Coturnix japonica: one gene and its partners. The protein of the gene in region 3 interacts with the protein of the main gene of each other region in a biochemical or structural test. Links are inferred from orthologs where the notes say so. Each region holds a gene or a part of one and is shown on either strand. Other genes may lie near its edges.

What was found.
Region 1: of the proteins of AURKA (region 3) and NIN, one has a biochemical effect on the other in vitro, tested with the Homo sapiens proteins (2 studies listed by BioGRID). The link is inferred for Coturnix japonica from reciprocal best matches to the Homo sapiens genes AURKA and NIN.
Region 2: the proteins of AURKA (region 3) and INCENP form a complex in vitro, tested with the Homo sapiens proteins (3 studies listed by BioGRID and IntAct, with this or other methods). The link is inferred for Coturnix japonica from reciprocal best matches to the Homo sapiens genes AURKA and INCENP.
Region 4: of the proteins of AURKA (region 3) and OTUD7B, one has a biochemical effect on the other in vitro, tested with the Homo sapiens proteins (2 studies listed by BioGRID, with this or other methods). The link is inferred for Coturnix japonica from reciprocal best matches to the Homo sapiens genes AURKA and OTUD7B.

The regions. Positions count from the first base shown.
Region 1 is NC_029520.1:52,541,541-52,545,040, forward strand, and holds part of NIN (ninein), read right to left. Parts: intron 2,945-3,500; coding exon 2,822-2,944; intron 2,309-2,821; coding exon 2,195-2,308; intron 1,609-2,194; coding exon 1,462-1,608; intron 676-1,461; coding exon 514-675; intron 1-513. UniProt on the Homo sapiens protein: Centrosomal protein required in the positioning and anchorage of the microtubule minus-end in epithelial cells. May also act as a centrosome maturation factor.
Region 2 is NC_029520.1:7,686,538-7,690,037, reverse strand, and holds part of INCENP (inner centromere protein), read left to right. Parts: intron 1-46; coding exon of another isoform or gene 47-64; exon of another isoform or gene 65-90; coding exon 91-204; intron 205-1,355; coding exon 1,356-1,515; intron 1,516-2,084; coding exon 2,085-2,299; 3' UTR 2,300-3,500. UniProt on the Homo sapiens protein: Component of the chromosomal passenger complex (CPC), a complex that acts as a key regulator of mitosis.
Region 3 is NC_029535.1:10,858,926-10,862,866, forward strand, and holds the end of AURKA (aurora kinase A), read left to right. Parts: intron 1-194; coding exon 195-386; intron 387-737; coding exon 738-876; intron 877-1,246; coding exon 1,247-1,395; intron 1,396-1,977; coding exon 1,978-2,152; intron 2,153-2,727; coding exon 2,728-2,886; 3' UTR 2,887-3,441; downstream 3,442-3,941. UniProt on the Homo sapiens protein: Mitotic serine/threonine kinase that contributes to the regulation of cell cycle progression.
Region 4 is NC_029540.1:381,921-385,567, reverse strand, and holds the end of OTUD7B (OTU domain-containing protein 7B), read right to left. Parts: intron 3,242-3,647; coding exon 1,943-3,241; 3' UTR 501-1,942; downstream 1-500. UniProt on the Homo sapiens protein: Negative regulator of the non-canonical NF-kappa-B pathway that acts by mediating deubiquitination of TRAF3, an inhibitor of the NF-kappa-B pathway, thereby acting as a negative regulator of B-cell responses.

The sequences.
Region 1 (3,500 bases), on a different chromosome or scaffold from region 3:
TGGAGCTTCCACATTCCACCCAGGGTGGGCAGTGATAGGACAAGGGGGAATGGTTTGAAACTGAGACAGGGGAGGTTCAGGTTGGATCTTAGGAGGAAGTTTTTCCCCCAGAGGGTGGTGACGCACTGGAACAGGTTGCCCAAGGAGGCTGTGGATGCCCCATCCCTGCAGGCATTCAAGGCCAGGCTGGATGTGGCTCTGGGCAGCCTGGGCTGCTGGTTGGTGACCCTGCACACAGCAGGGGGTTGGAGCTGGGTGAGCACTGTGGGCCTTTGCAGCCCAGGCTATTGTGTGACTTTATGAATCCCCAGCTAAAGCAGGTTCCCTACAGTAGGTTGCACAGGAAAGTGTCCAGATGACCCCTACCACCTCTGCAGCCCTTTGCTGCGCATCTGCTTAGAACTGAGGAACCCAGAAGGAGATCCAGTACTCCGGATGTAATCTCCCCTCAGTGCAGAGCAGAGGGGGCAAGACCAGAATCCTAGACAAGAGACTATCTGAATGGTCCCCTACCTTCTCCCTGGCATGCACCAGCTCTGTGGCAGAACTCCGGGCCTCCCTCTGCAGCCGTTCCTTCTCCTGCTGCAGCAGCTGCTGCTCCTGGGCCATCAGCTGCTCCAGCTCATCCTGCTGTGAGCGCCCTGGGGAAGGCACAGCCCGTGCTAGGACTCGGTTCTTAAGACAGACAGAATTGCAGGGTTAGGCCTTCAACAGAGAAGCAGACGTTTTCTCTGTTCAGGTGGGGTTTAAGGAGGCTTTTGGTAGCTGCAGGGTTCCATCTCCCTCCCAGCCTGTGTGCCATTTCCCAGTCAAATCCAGCATGGTCATCCCAGCATGCAGCCAAGCACTTCACCACAATCACAGCTGGAATGGTTACTGTGAGTGCACACACAACTCAGCGGCACAAAAAGGGAAATAGGGCTCTATTTTGGAGCCTCATCAAGTAAATAACAGAACCCCATTACACATTATTCAGTAATAGCTGTGATTCAGCTCCTGTTGCACAATTCTCAAGCACTCTCCTTTCTGTGTGGATGTTAAATACTCCTTTAATTACAGGGCAAAGGAGCCAAATCAGGGGCTAAACTCATAATGCCAATTCAGGACTGCTGCCTGCCACCTCCTTCAGACCCACCTCCTCATCAGCTTGGCATTGCAAACAACCTTACCAACCTAATGATAGTTAACTCTTAAAAATGAAAACTATTAAAACCAGTAAGTAGCACAGAAATATTGTGTTATTTTTTTTATACCCTCCTCCCTCCAGCCAGTTTGACTGCGAGCTTTCCATCACTTGTGTTTACAAGAGTCAAAACCAATGTCATTCAGAATCTACTTGCTCAGGCCTGCAGCACCATTTCTGCCTTGTACATTAATGAGCCAAGCTAAAAATGAGACTGGCTCCAGAGACAGGATGCCCATCTATAGGTCACCCACGTGGATCTGATAGAGGTCAGTTACCTTCTCATTGGCGTTCTGCAGCTGCTTGTGTAAAGACATCACCTCTTGTTCGAGAGCTTCCTTCTCCTGCTGTGCCACCCGCAGGTCTGACCTCAGGCGGGACATCTGGAGGGTGGTGGTCTGCAGGGTTTCATCCAAGCTCTGAACCTGCAACGTGCCACAAACATCTGCTATTTGACTGCTGGCTGTTGGAAAGAGGTGATGAGGTGACACTGGTGGCCCACCCTCCTATAACACTAACCAGATCTTCAAGTCTCTGCTTCAAATGAGCTGCCTTACACTCTTAAATATGGCCAAAATACCACACCCAGACACCTTCCATCCCAGAATATTGACTGCGATATGCTGGGAAAAGGAGATTCTCTTGGAATTATTTCTTCATGGCCAATAAGAGTCAAGAGAAGCACCATCAGCCAAGTAAATGGCCATTTTTCCCTTCCCTTGGCTGCTAGGAAACAAGCTAGCACCAGAAAGCAGGGAGCAGAAGCAGGATCTCTGCAGTGGGACAGAGTGAATTGGCAAGAAGAACTTGGAAGTGGGGAAAAAAAGGTCATATTTAACAAGTTTCCTTTTGTCCTTTAAGGACATCACTTTGAAAGCCCATCAAAGCGCCCATTCTCAGCTGCACGGAGTCTCTGCACATGTTAGAAGAGGGCTGTTTTCTATGAAAGAAGCTGTACCAGAAATTCTGAGATGCTTTGATTCAGGACCGTAACAAAACCCACTGTTATACCTTCTCCTGTGAAACTGATAGCTGTGTTTTCAGGGTCTGACTCTGCTGCTCCCAAGACTTCTGCTCCTGCTTCAAGCCGCCAACTGTGCTCTCCAAGAAGCTTACTTTGGCCACCTGGAATAAGATTACACAGCTAAGCCTGAATCATCTGGGATTTTCTTTAACTCAGTTTGACTTCAGGAGTTATGATAGATGGAGTTACAGCTCCGCAAGGAAGTTAGAGGGGAGCAAAAAATAAACCACAGCCCAACCAACTCAGTTTCAATCTATGCACAACAAGATCATTATTTATGGCATGCTTACTGTGCTGCCCCGGCCTGGAGTTAGCACAGAGTGCAAGAACACTGCCCTCCTTGTCCTGCTGCAACATTTCTATCCATGCCTCTGCTCCTCACGACGTTTGGAATTTGCTATGTGACCAAATTGCACTCAAGCTATGCTCCAAAAGCTCTTTTTAATAGCAATGAGGGAAAATATGCAATGGCACGGAAACCTTGATCTGGCCTGAAGGTAAGAAGGAAACCCAAAGTAGTTCTATTGCTTAAAGGGATGCAGACTCTGATATAAGGACTTCAGTACCTCATTACAGCACATGGGTAGGGACACGGGTGTGCAGTCCTGCCTTACCTTATCAATACACCTGCTTAATTCCTCGCTCAGCGCTTCCTTCTCTTTCAGCAGCTTTTCATTTCTAGTCATCAAACTAGAGACTTCGTTCTGAAGGTCAGAGAGGTCAGGGCATCTGGGGAGCTGTGGGAGACAACCCCCTCCCATCAGTTCAGAGCTTTGCATGCAAGCATTAAACAAAGCCTTCTCCTTGCCTTAGGACCAATTGTAGTGTACTGGATAGAGTGGAAAAGATGGGAGCAGAATATCACTCATGTCCCAGGACAGCCTGTGTTAGGGCTCCTATGAACCACATGCCCACAGACAGGTGCTACACCTCCTGCACAGCGTGTATTAGCATGTTAAAGCCCCTGACATAATACAGGACCCATTGGGTTGTACAACACTAATTGGAATGGAAACAGAACATACCAGATACTACATCTTTGAATTTCCATTTTGTATATTATGGTGGGTTTTGTTTTTTAGTTTTAAGAACAACCAGAACATACCGGGAATTCTCCCCACATCCACACATCTCCATTCACCTGCTAACATCATCAGGGCAGATAAGGCTTTGGATACCTCCTTCCCAGAAAAGGGGGAAAGAAAAGCCACCCAGCTGACTTCTCATCCCTTTCCCACCTGGCGCAGTGCTTCAGCTTTGTCTGCCTGTTCCTGTGCACTTTGGGCTCTGCTC
Region 2 (3,500 bases), on a different chromosome or scaffold from region 3:
ATTGTATGTCAAAATTGTGGATCCTTGAATGAACCCCATGGGTTAGTTGATAAGGTCAACTTAAATTCACTTTTGACATCGGCTTGCCAGAAGGAAGAGCAGTTGCTAGCAGAGGTGAAGAGGCAGGAGCAAGAACAGAAGAAACTCCCAAAGGAACAAAAGGCTACAGATGTAGCACAAACACAGCACCTAGAAAACAAAGAGGTAACTGCTCTCTGGTGGAAATTTCTTTAAGGGATCACATCGGAGAACTTGGACTCCAGCACTGGCATGCTGTTACTGTGAGCAATATTACCTCCCACTTTTTATTTTTAATTCCCTTTCAGTAGTGAAGGGATGCTGTAAACTTTTCCCTTAGTTACCTGAGGTCAGTTCCTGATGGCCTTGAATACTTTAAATGGCTTTCAGGTACTGAAAATGCAAGAAGGGAAGCAGCAAGTATTTGTTAGGATTTTTCTAGCTGTTGGAATAAGGCAGTGGCTGTTAAAGTTACCTTGCCTTCTCTGAACTTGCTTAAAATACTGAATGTTGGAGGCAGCAAAGATACTGAAATGGTTGTATTTAAGTTCAAAACTGGAACCAGCCACAAGATGGCAGCAGAGTCTGTGGAATAGTGTTGCATTTGTGCTGCACTACCACTGGAGTGTGAGACTGTGTTGGAGATGAATGTACACTGTGAACATGAAAGACAAATGAATACATGGATCTTTATTTTCTTTTGAAGCTATATAATTTAATCTTTAAATGCAAAAGGAATGAAATGTAAACTAACTGTAATGTATATGGAGCCGTTAAAAAAGCATGTTGTGGGAGCAAAACTGTTTTTAGCACTTTTGAGATACTCATCTCTCGTTAAGAACTGACTGAAGTTTCATGGAATTTGCTGTTTTAAGTTATTTTCATGACTTGCATTTCTCTCAGTCATACTGTTCCCATCAAAATTGCAATACAGAAAATGCATGTCTCAGAATAAACTGTAAAAGATACTTCACGTAATAGTGTTAAACAACTGGGTGTTAAGTTGCATAGTACTTACAGGACGTAACTTAGATCCAGCTCTGAGGACGTGACAGCTGTATTTAAAGTGCCTTATTTCAAAGGAAACTGCTGTGTCTGTGTTAGGATGAGTGTATTGCCAGCTTACTTATGTCCTCATTAGGCAATTAAGTGGCCTAGTTAAACAAGAGAAGGCGGTGCAAAGTCAAAACTTCAGAACTGACAACTTGTAGGTTTCAGAATTGTGCAGTACAGCAAGGGGGAAGACCAAGATACTATAAGCTACAAGCATCTCATTACAACTTGGAAGTGTAGTAATACTACTGTGTCTAATGTCTGGTAATATGTTCATCTTCTAGAATTCACCTGCCTGCAATTCATACCAGATGACTCCACAGAACCATAAAGATCCAAAGCCCCCCAAGATAAATCCAAATAACTATGGAATGGATCTGAACAGCGATGACTCTACTGATGATGAAAGCCAGCCTCGCAAACCCATCCCTGCCTGGGCCAGCGGTATGTGTTAGCAGGTTAAAATCTGTCCTGAAAGTCTCCAACCAGCCCCAATGCAGCTTTGTTCCCATGGATAATGGTGGTTATAAGATTAAGCCTCTTCTACCAACTGGGAGCTTTGTGGAGCAGCACTGGGGAATAACACTCTTTTAAACCACCTCAACACTACTGCCAGTGTGAGTGTGGAGGAGTTATGAACTGCTGTTCTGGCCTTGAAGTGTGCTAGGCCATGCAGTTTACAGAAGCTGGCTGTTGTCCTGCTTCTAAAATAACTGCCACAGGGGAAACTAAAAAGTTGGTGTGGAAACTGACAGGACCCATAGAAAGAAAAGCTAAGAAACCTTGTCTCTTCCTGGCCAGAATTCAGTATGTTCTCTCACACCAAGGGACCTGTGCTGAAGCTTTAGGCATAATCAAGTGCTTTAAAATGTCAAATGTTACAGGTGTTTTGTATATTGCAATATTTGTGTGATTAGAACCAAAGGGAGCAGGGATGCATGGCATATGAACAGTCTACAAAGCAATTTCAATGGCAAAAAAATAATGATAACTCTGATCTTTTGTTTCTCCAGGGAATCAGCTTAGCCAAGCAATAATCCGCCAGTACTACAACCCTCCCAATGTTGATGCACTCTTTGGGACGATCGTAAGCCCCAAGTTGGAGGACATCTTTTACAAAAGCAAACCACGTTACTTCAAGCGCACCAGCTCTGCTGTGTGGAACTCCCCACCGTTTCCAGGTGCCAAATCAGTTCTAGGTCTGCCATATGGCCTGAAAAAGTACTGAGGTGGACAGTAACTGTCTCCTGTGGAGCAATAATATGCATTTGTGTCTCTCTGGGTGAGAAGAGAGATGCTATTCAATATCCCTAAATCTTTAGGCTCTAGCGTTTAATAAATGTCAGCTCTGACTGGGCCTCTTACATTTTCTATTTTGGAGGCTTGTTTTCTCACTGTTGAGTAAAGTTGCAGGCTATGGGGAGATCTTGCTTCTGAACTGTGCATCTCCTTTTTCCTTCAACCTTAAGATGGCAAAGATTTAGACTTATAGGTCATGAGAATGTATCATCTAAAGCAAATGTGGTTGTTGATGGATACAGTAGGGAAAGGTGTGTCAGTACTGTTCCTGCAGCCCTATGGTGAAAGCCAGAGTATTGTACAGCTAATGACTGCTGTATGCATCTCGAGTCAAGTCCAAAACACTGCTGATGTCCTTAAGAATAAATATATTAGCAGCCATGTCTCCATCTCCTGCAAACTGCAAAATAATTTGGTTTGGTTATCATTAGGAAGCTCTATGTCAACACCAAATGCATTTATGTACATAAGCTATGTTGATGTTACTGCAGCTCGGGAGGAAATATCCTGAGGATCTTAATGACCTTTCTTCTGTTGTTGGAGAGAGATGTGACCCTGGAGTTAATCATGTCTCCAAGAATACCCAGAGTAGCATAAGTAATCTTTGTACTTCCAGCTGTCTTTCAAGTAAATTATACCAAAGGTTATGGTATTCTTTAATTTCCACATTTGTGGCAGATTGGATTAAAAGGATGTTTTTGTTCAGTTTTAGTTCTTGTCTTGTTCCTTTCCCCCTTAGGTATTTCACTTACTCAGCATCAAAGCTGGTTTCATTTTTAGGCCTTCACTTTGCTCTTCTTGCTCAGTAAAGCAATGTTAAAACAGTTTCCTCACAACATCAAAATATGAGCTCAGAATTTCAGCTCTGAGATCACATGGTGTTCTTGTCTACAAGTTTCAGTATAGAGAGAAGTCCCAGTAGGACAGTGACATTTTACAAGGAAACAGTTACGTTAATTTCTGTAGGTTTCCGTGGAAGTCTGTCTTCTGCGAAGTAGACAAAATACATTGTTCTTACCTCAGAATCATCTTTTCTGGGAGGCTTGATTTGGTTTTAAAGATGGGTGAGTATTTGTGGCTGCGGCCTCAGTCAGTGGACTGAGAACACTGTACATACAGCTCGGGTGCTT
Region 3 (3,941 bases):
TTTGCTGCAGTATGTAGCTGTATCTCTATGCATATGCTTTAGAAGCAAGAGAGAAGCTTTCCCTTTGAGAAGTCTCAATGCATGTTTTGTCCTCTTGGTGGTGTTCCATTAAAGACTAAAGTCTATCAGCATATAAGTGGAACATTGCTGATACACTCAAGCATTATTCTGTAACTTTCTGTCTCCTTTTGCAGAAGACAGTGGTCTCTTGATGATTTTGAAATTGGTCGTCCTCTGGGGAAAGGAAAATTTGGCAATGTATACTTGGCACGTGAAAAACAGAGTAAATTTATTCTTGCACTGAAAGTGTTGTTTAAAGCACAGCTTGAGGATGCTGGTGTAGAACATCAACTACGAAGAGAAGTTGAAATACAATCTCATCTCAGGTAATATAACTGTTACCCTCTTCTTAGTTTATGCTCAGTTAAAAAAGAAAGTAAACTCACTTGAAGAAAAGCAATTCTGTAATACGTGACACCTTGAAACTGCTTGTTAAGAAACTGCTTGTTAAGGTTCTTGCCATTCTGCCCCTGCCCCACCACCGCATGGACCAAAAAGAAAAGAGAACCCAAACATAGAAGCCAAGCACCTGGCCAGTTCTTACAAGTGGATGACTGCAATTTCTCAGTCTAAGCTTGTTCCTGGTATTCTGTTTCCTGTCAAATAAGCCCAACTTGCTGAATGAATTAGTTGTTTCACAGAAAATATGTTCAGGAAGGCATTTCAATTTCTTGCAGGCATCCCAACATTCTCAGACTATACGGCTACTTCCATGATGTTACAAGAGTCTACCTTATTCTAGAGTATGCACCTCGTGGAGAAGTCTTCAAGGAGCTACAGAAGCACACCAAATTCGATGAACAAAGAACTGCAACTGTAGGTTGTTCTAATTGCTTGTACGTTGCTTGCTCCTGTGTAGCATACCTGAAGTATGCAACTTTCTCCTGAAGAGCTAGCAATTTTCAGTTGCATAAAACTAACTTTTTGGATGCTAGCTTGCTTATGCACTTGCAGCCTGTTTAGGAATATGTTGGGAGGACAAACAACTTCAGTGTCAATGAATAATGTTCAGCATTGCCCAGCACTGTAATTTGTGTGGTCACTTCAAGCAACATCTGTTGCTTGTGAGTGCAAGGAACAATTTTTCTGCTCCAAACTGCTAATTATGACTAGAGAATATTATACTGTAGCTAATAAAGCTTGAGCATCAGTGTCTTCATATTTGACAGTTCTGTTTTCTTTGCAGTACATTACAGAACTAGCAGATGCCCTATCATACTGTCATTCCAAGAGTGTGATTCACCGGGACATCAAACCAGAAAACCTGCTGCTTGGCTCAAATGGAGAGTTAAAAATTGCAGACTTTGGATGGTCTGTGCATGCTCCATCCTCTAGGTAAGATCACAGTATATACCTTGTACAGTGAAATTCTTCTGTAATGAAAATTATAGCTTTCTTGCCAAACTTAGTTATGCAATGGAGGTAAATGTCAACTTACTGAAATACTGGGGGGGAGCATTTAATAATTGGGCCAGTGCTGTCAAGCTCTTAATATTTGATTGGCGTAGCATAGAGGGAACGTTATCCTGCTTCTCCATTTGTGTATCTGACAACTTACTGAACCTGAAACAAGGGTGTTAGTGCGCTGGTTTAGGGTTACAGTGGTCCCTGAAATGAAGATCAGAACTTCAGTTCATGCTGTACCTGGAATGTTTCCTTAGTATGAACTGCACCCAATGAAGAAAGCCTCACTGACCTGTGAGCCAGTGGGAGAGGCAAAAAGGAAGGGCAAAACTGCCTGTCATGATCAGAATACTTCAAAGCAAACCTAGAATGACTGATGGAATTCCAGAGATACTGGGTTTATCTGGGGTAGACTACACTGAGATACAGATAAGAACACTGGAATCAAGATGCTAATACTAACAAACAGCCACAAAGGGTAAATGATACACTGTACTCTGTGCTTTTCTTCAGGAGATCAACTCTCTGTGGGACACTTGACTACTTGCCTCCTGAAATGATTGAGGGAAGAACACATGATGAAAAGGTGGATATTTGGAGCCTGGGGGTTCTGTGCTATGAATTCCTTGTAGGAAAGCCACCTTTTGAAGCAGCAACATATCAAGAAACCTACAGAGCTATTTCCAGGGTATGTACCATAACTTTGACTAGGTGAATTTTGGTTTCACTTCTTGTCTTCTTGAAAGTTTAATATTGCTTTTGAGGGAAGGAAAGCCATAACGAGATACACAGAAAACTAGATCCCTAAAGCTATCCTGAAGTGACTCCAGTAGAATTACAATAAAGACAGCTTTCCTGGCTGCTTGGTTCTGTTCTGTTTCTACCTGTATCTGAACACCAACCTTTTCATATAGCAGTTTATTCTTCACAATCTCCTCCACTACTTTCATGTTTCTGGTATATAAAATATTAATTGCTTGAGGTATCAGGAAAAACTTAAATTATATATTTCTAGAGTTCTGTAAACTTGAGAGGTTCCAGCAATGAGGTTTTATGTTGGGAGCACCCAAAAAAGCACACTAGCTGAACTTTGGCAAGCAGCGAGAGCCTTGTGATGAAATTACTAGGTACAAGGTACATAGCCCACAAGGCTGACAGTTTTCTTTGCTCTCTGTACCTTGGGGGGCAGAACCCTATTGCTTTCCAGTTTTGATTAGTGCCAAAGAATATTGCATCATCTTTTGTCTTGTTTCCTTTTCTTAGGTGGAATTCAGGTATCCAGTATTTGTAACAGAAGGTGCAAGAGATTTAATTTCAAAGCTTCTGAAACATAACCCATTCCATCGGCTGCCCTTGAAGGATGTACTTGTTCATCCCTGGATTACAGCAAATTCTACAAAGCTGCCCAACAATAGGAAGTGATGTTGCCACCCCATCCAGAATATAGTCTTAACAAGGGTAATCTCATTGGACTAACGAGGAGATTTGTACTGTGACTACTGTAATACAGTAAGAAGAGCAGGTCTTGGAATCCAGTGGCAATTAAGAACACAAGTTTTGGGTTGGTTATCATCTTGAACTGACCTTGAATTGCAACGTAATCTATTTGACTTCTAGCTGGATGTTGTGGAATACTTAATGTACTTGAAAAATAACTACACGTGGGCCAGATTTATTCATGTAAGTATTCAAGGTCTGTTCAAGGCCTTTATGGTATGGTCTGTCATAGTTATAGCACATTGTTCCAATAACAAGAGACAGTGATGGTTCTATCTTACTGAACAGTGCAATATCCCAGAGATACCTGCCTGTGAACTCACTGGGCTGCTAAAGGGTATCATACCTGTGGTGTAATCTGAAACTGAGGTGAATGCATTTGTGTCCTAAAAATGAATGATGTGTGCATTTTGTCTCTAGTTTTTTGTCTTATATGTGAGCGCTCAAGTATCTAAATAAAGATTGCTTATATATTGAAAAGCATGGTAAGGTTCCTTACAATACATAGTATCTTGGGTGCTGGCTGCCTCCAACTTCCTGTCATTACTGTCATACTAGGCACATCTTGACTTACCTCCATGGTCACAGACTCTAGCTCTGTCCAGAAGTAAGTTGATATAAATTAAGTTCTTGCTGTAAGTGCTGGTGTTGTGGAAGTAGATGCAGCTATTATTCTTCAGGAAAGTACTAGAAGTGTTACTAAATACCTCACGAGAGTTTCACAGTCACTTAAAAACTAAATCTGCTTCTTTCTTTGCAGCTGAAGTGTAATAGTCATAGGTGAGGTGCACATACACACCACAAACAAGGAACAAAAAACCAAAGCATGCTGCTTACCAATCCATGTTTCCAATTCTCTGGTGTTTATACTCTGGGCTCCAATTTTTTTCCCCTCTATTTAGAAATTATTAGAAGCAGAAGTAATAGATTAGAACCTGGGCTTCATAGCTACCATAGACATAAATGGCAAAGCATCTCAC
Region 4 (3,647 bases), on a different chromosome or scaffold from region 3:
ATAGGAAAACCCCAAAAGAACTGCAGTGAGTGGAAAGAAATCCCTATTTCCAACCATCTGAGCCCAAATGCTGCCCTAATAATGGGAAAATCCAAAGTCCTGTGGGATCTCAGCCATGAAATGGGGCAGAACCAGCCATCAGAACCAAGCCTATAAGGTTATATATACCCCTTATATATATATATATATACCCGTTATATATATATATACCCCCTTATATAAGGTCTATAAGGGGTAAGTCCTCCCCATAAAGGGGAATGGAGTTGGCTAATTGGGGGGGGGGGGAAGAGGGGCTGATGTTCTATGGGGGGGGGAGAAGAGGGGCTGATGTTCTATGGGGGGGGGGGAAGAGGGGCTGATGTTCTATGGGGGGGGGGGAAGAGGGGCTGATGTTCTATGGGGGGGGGAGAAGAGGGGCTGATGTTCTATGGGGGGGGTGGGTGTTTATTATATCCTTATTATATCCTTATTATATCCTTATAATAAACAACAAGGATGGGACGTGTTTAAAGCTCGGAGTTACCGGCCCAACTCATTTATTTCCATACGTTCAAACTCTGAACCTCGTTCTCTCTTATACAAACAAAACTGGGCTGAGGATTCGAGCCCCAGTTCGGGAGCTTCAAATACAAAAAGGAATCTGTGCAAACATCGCAGTGTTAAATCACAGCCCCCCCCATAAACCCCCTTTATAAACTGGGGGGGATGGGGGAAGGCTGGGCCCCCTTATATCGCATTTAAAGAGCTGACGGGTTCACTTTCCTTTAGGTTCACCCCTTATATTTTAGCCCTGTTATCAAAAAAAAAACCCAAAAAAACCCAAAATATATCATTTAATATCACTCAGCCTAAAGGTCAGTTACGCGGCTCGGCAAAATGGAGCCAGAGTTAATTCTATTCAGCAGAACAGAGGTAGTATGGAAGTAGCTTCGCTCAAGTAGAAAGTTATTATCGCGTGGATCCGCCGCGGGGCTGGAAGCAGCGTTACCTCCCCAGTGCTGCAGGGCTCCGGCCTCAATCCTGCCCCATAAGTTGGAGCTATTCGATCCTGGTCTTACGTTGGAGCTATTCAATCCTGCCCCATACGTTGGGGCTATTCAATCCTGCCCTATTAGTTGGGGCTATTCGATCCTGCCCCGTAAGTTGGGGCTATTCAATCCTGCCCCATACGTTGAAGCTATTCAATCCTGCCCCATACGTTGAAGCTATTCAATCCTGCCCCATAAGTTGGGGCTATTCAATCCTGCCCCATACGTTGGGGCTATTCAATCCTGCCCCCTAAGCTGGAGCTATTCAATCCTGCCCCATAAGTTGGGGCTATTCAATCCTGCCCCATAAATTGGAGCTATTGCTGCTGAGGCACCCACCTGCTTTCAGTCCATCTCCGTACCGCCAATGGAACTCAATTGGGGGGCACTCAACCCCATTTGGTGCTGAGACCCCCCTCCGTCCCCCTCCCCACCCTCATTAAGAGCTTAATAAGAACCAGCATTAAAAACCCAGAGCCCAGCTTGTATATGGGGGCAGGGCAGAGCCTGAAGGCGCTGAGCCACCCCATGGGCTCCGAAACCGAATGGTAACGTCCCATTCCGAACGTGTTGCTCTCAGTACTGGGAAAAAAATAAACCGTCGTCGTAGGAAAGTGTTAAAAAAACAAAAAAAAGGAAATAAAATAAAACATTTCTGTGTTTTAAAAGGTCTGTGACTTTTCCTTATTGGGATGGTGGGCAACCAGGCGGCTTCGGGGTCCAGCCGAAAGCTTTGGTTTGGGATACAAATGGCTTGGAAGCCCCTTCCACCCCCAGCTCCCACATTGACCCCAATGAGCCCTCAAGGTTTGAAGGGGCTGAATCCCCTCCATCATCATCCCCCCCATCTCCTTCCAGCCAAGGAGGGGGGTATATGGATAACCCACGTTATCGCTGTCCCCGCGTGTCGCGGGTCAGAACCTGTGCACCAACGCCTCGCGCTCTTTCCGTTTCATCTCCTCTTTATAACAACAGGAGCAGAAATTCCCAGTCTCCGGATGGCCGTAAAAGCTGCAATTTGGCTGTTTGCATTTGGGTTGTTGGATATTACAAACAACCCTCCCTCTTGTTTTATCTATCGCCGTTCCTTTCTGAGCGCCATCCTGATCCACATACTCCCTGTAACCATTGCTGTTGTTGTGCTGGGGGGCAACGCAAGTGAAGGCTTCACACTCTGTATTAAAACCTGGATGAACATCCATGTCCGTAGGGGAAAACCTTCCTACGTGGGGAGGTTGTGGCCGTGCCTGGCTGCAATGCCTGGGTAGGGTGGCGTAAGGGGGGAGGCTGCTGCAGGACCCCCCCGCTACCTGCCGTCGACCCTCGTGGTAACCGGGGGGGTGAGACCCTTCTGTGCTGCTGCTGATCACTGAGGGTCTGGGGAAGGTGAAGACCCCCGAATAACTGGAGGGGAATGAGGCTATTTTAGCCCCGATGGCCAAATCCGGGGGGTGGATGGTGTAGGTTGGGGGGGGCTGGGGGTACACGGGGCCGTGTAGCGTTTCCTCAGCCCTCACTTCCACCTCCAGCTTCTTAACAGGGGCTGCGTTTCCTAATGCCTTTTTTTCAGCCTCTTTTTGCTTCTGCTCGGCCAGGAATCTCTCCTCGGCATCCAGGAGGTATTGCTGGATCATCTCCTCCTGGTACTGGTGCCGATGGCCCGTTTTCAGGTGTCCAGCAAAGATGAACTTGCGCTCTCCCTGCATGGCAGCACGTAGGATGCTGAGGCTGAGCCTCACATCGTTGCTGTATTTATAGGGGTCCGAGGGTTTTTCAGAGGCTGCTTTACCCGTGGTGCAGCTTTTCTCCCCATGAGCACAAAGGTCCCCCTGGGCTGTTTCCTCTTTGCTGCCTTTCCTCGTCTTCAACGATCCCTTCTTCTTCTTCTCCAGGGTGTCCCCCTGCCCGTTGCTCACCCCTCCCTTGATGGTTTTGCTGTGCATCAACCCACCCATGTTCTTTTTTAACTTACTTCCCAAAGTCTTGCCGAAGCTGCCCAGCTTATTGGCCACCGAGTCGGCCCGTTTCTTATCTTTTTCCTTGTCCTTTTCTCGTTCTTTCTTTGGTTTCTCTTTATCTTTGCAGCCTTTGCTGCCCCCGTTACTCGCTGAGCTGCTGCAGACCGACTCCTTGTCTGACTCTCCAGACTCTGCAGCCGAACGGGCATCGTCCCCTGCTGAGGCTGTGGGGGATTCAGGCTGGGCCAAAGGCGCCTGGAAGACAGAAATCATATTATTATGGGCACACAGTGGGATATATGGGCACACAGTGGGGTGTACGGGCACACAGTGGGGTGTACGGGCACAGAGTGGGGATGTATGGGCACAGAGTGGGGATGTATGGGGATGTATGGGCACACAGTGGGGTGTATGGGCACACAGGGGGGTGTATGGGCACACAGGGGGGTGTATGGGGATGTATGGGCACACAGTGGGGTGTACGGGCACACAGACGGGTATATAGGCACACAGGGGGGTGTATGGGCACACAGAGGGGTGTATGGGCACACAGGGGGTGTATGGGCACACAGGGGGTGTATGGGCACACAGGGGGGTGTNGGGGGTGTATGGGCACACAGGGGGGTGTATGGGCACACAGGGGGGTGTATGGGCACACAGT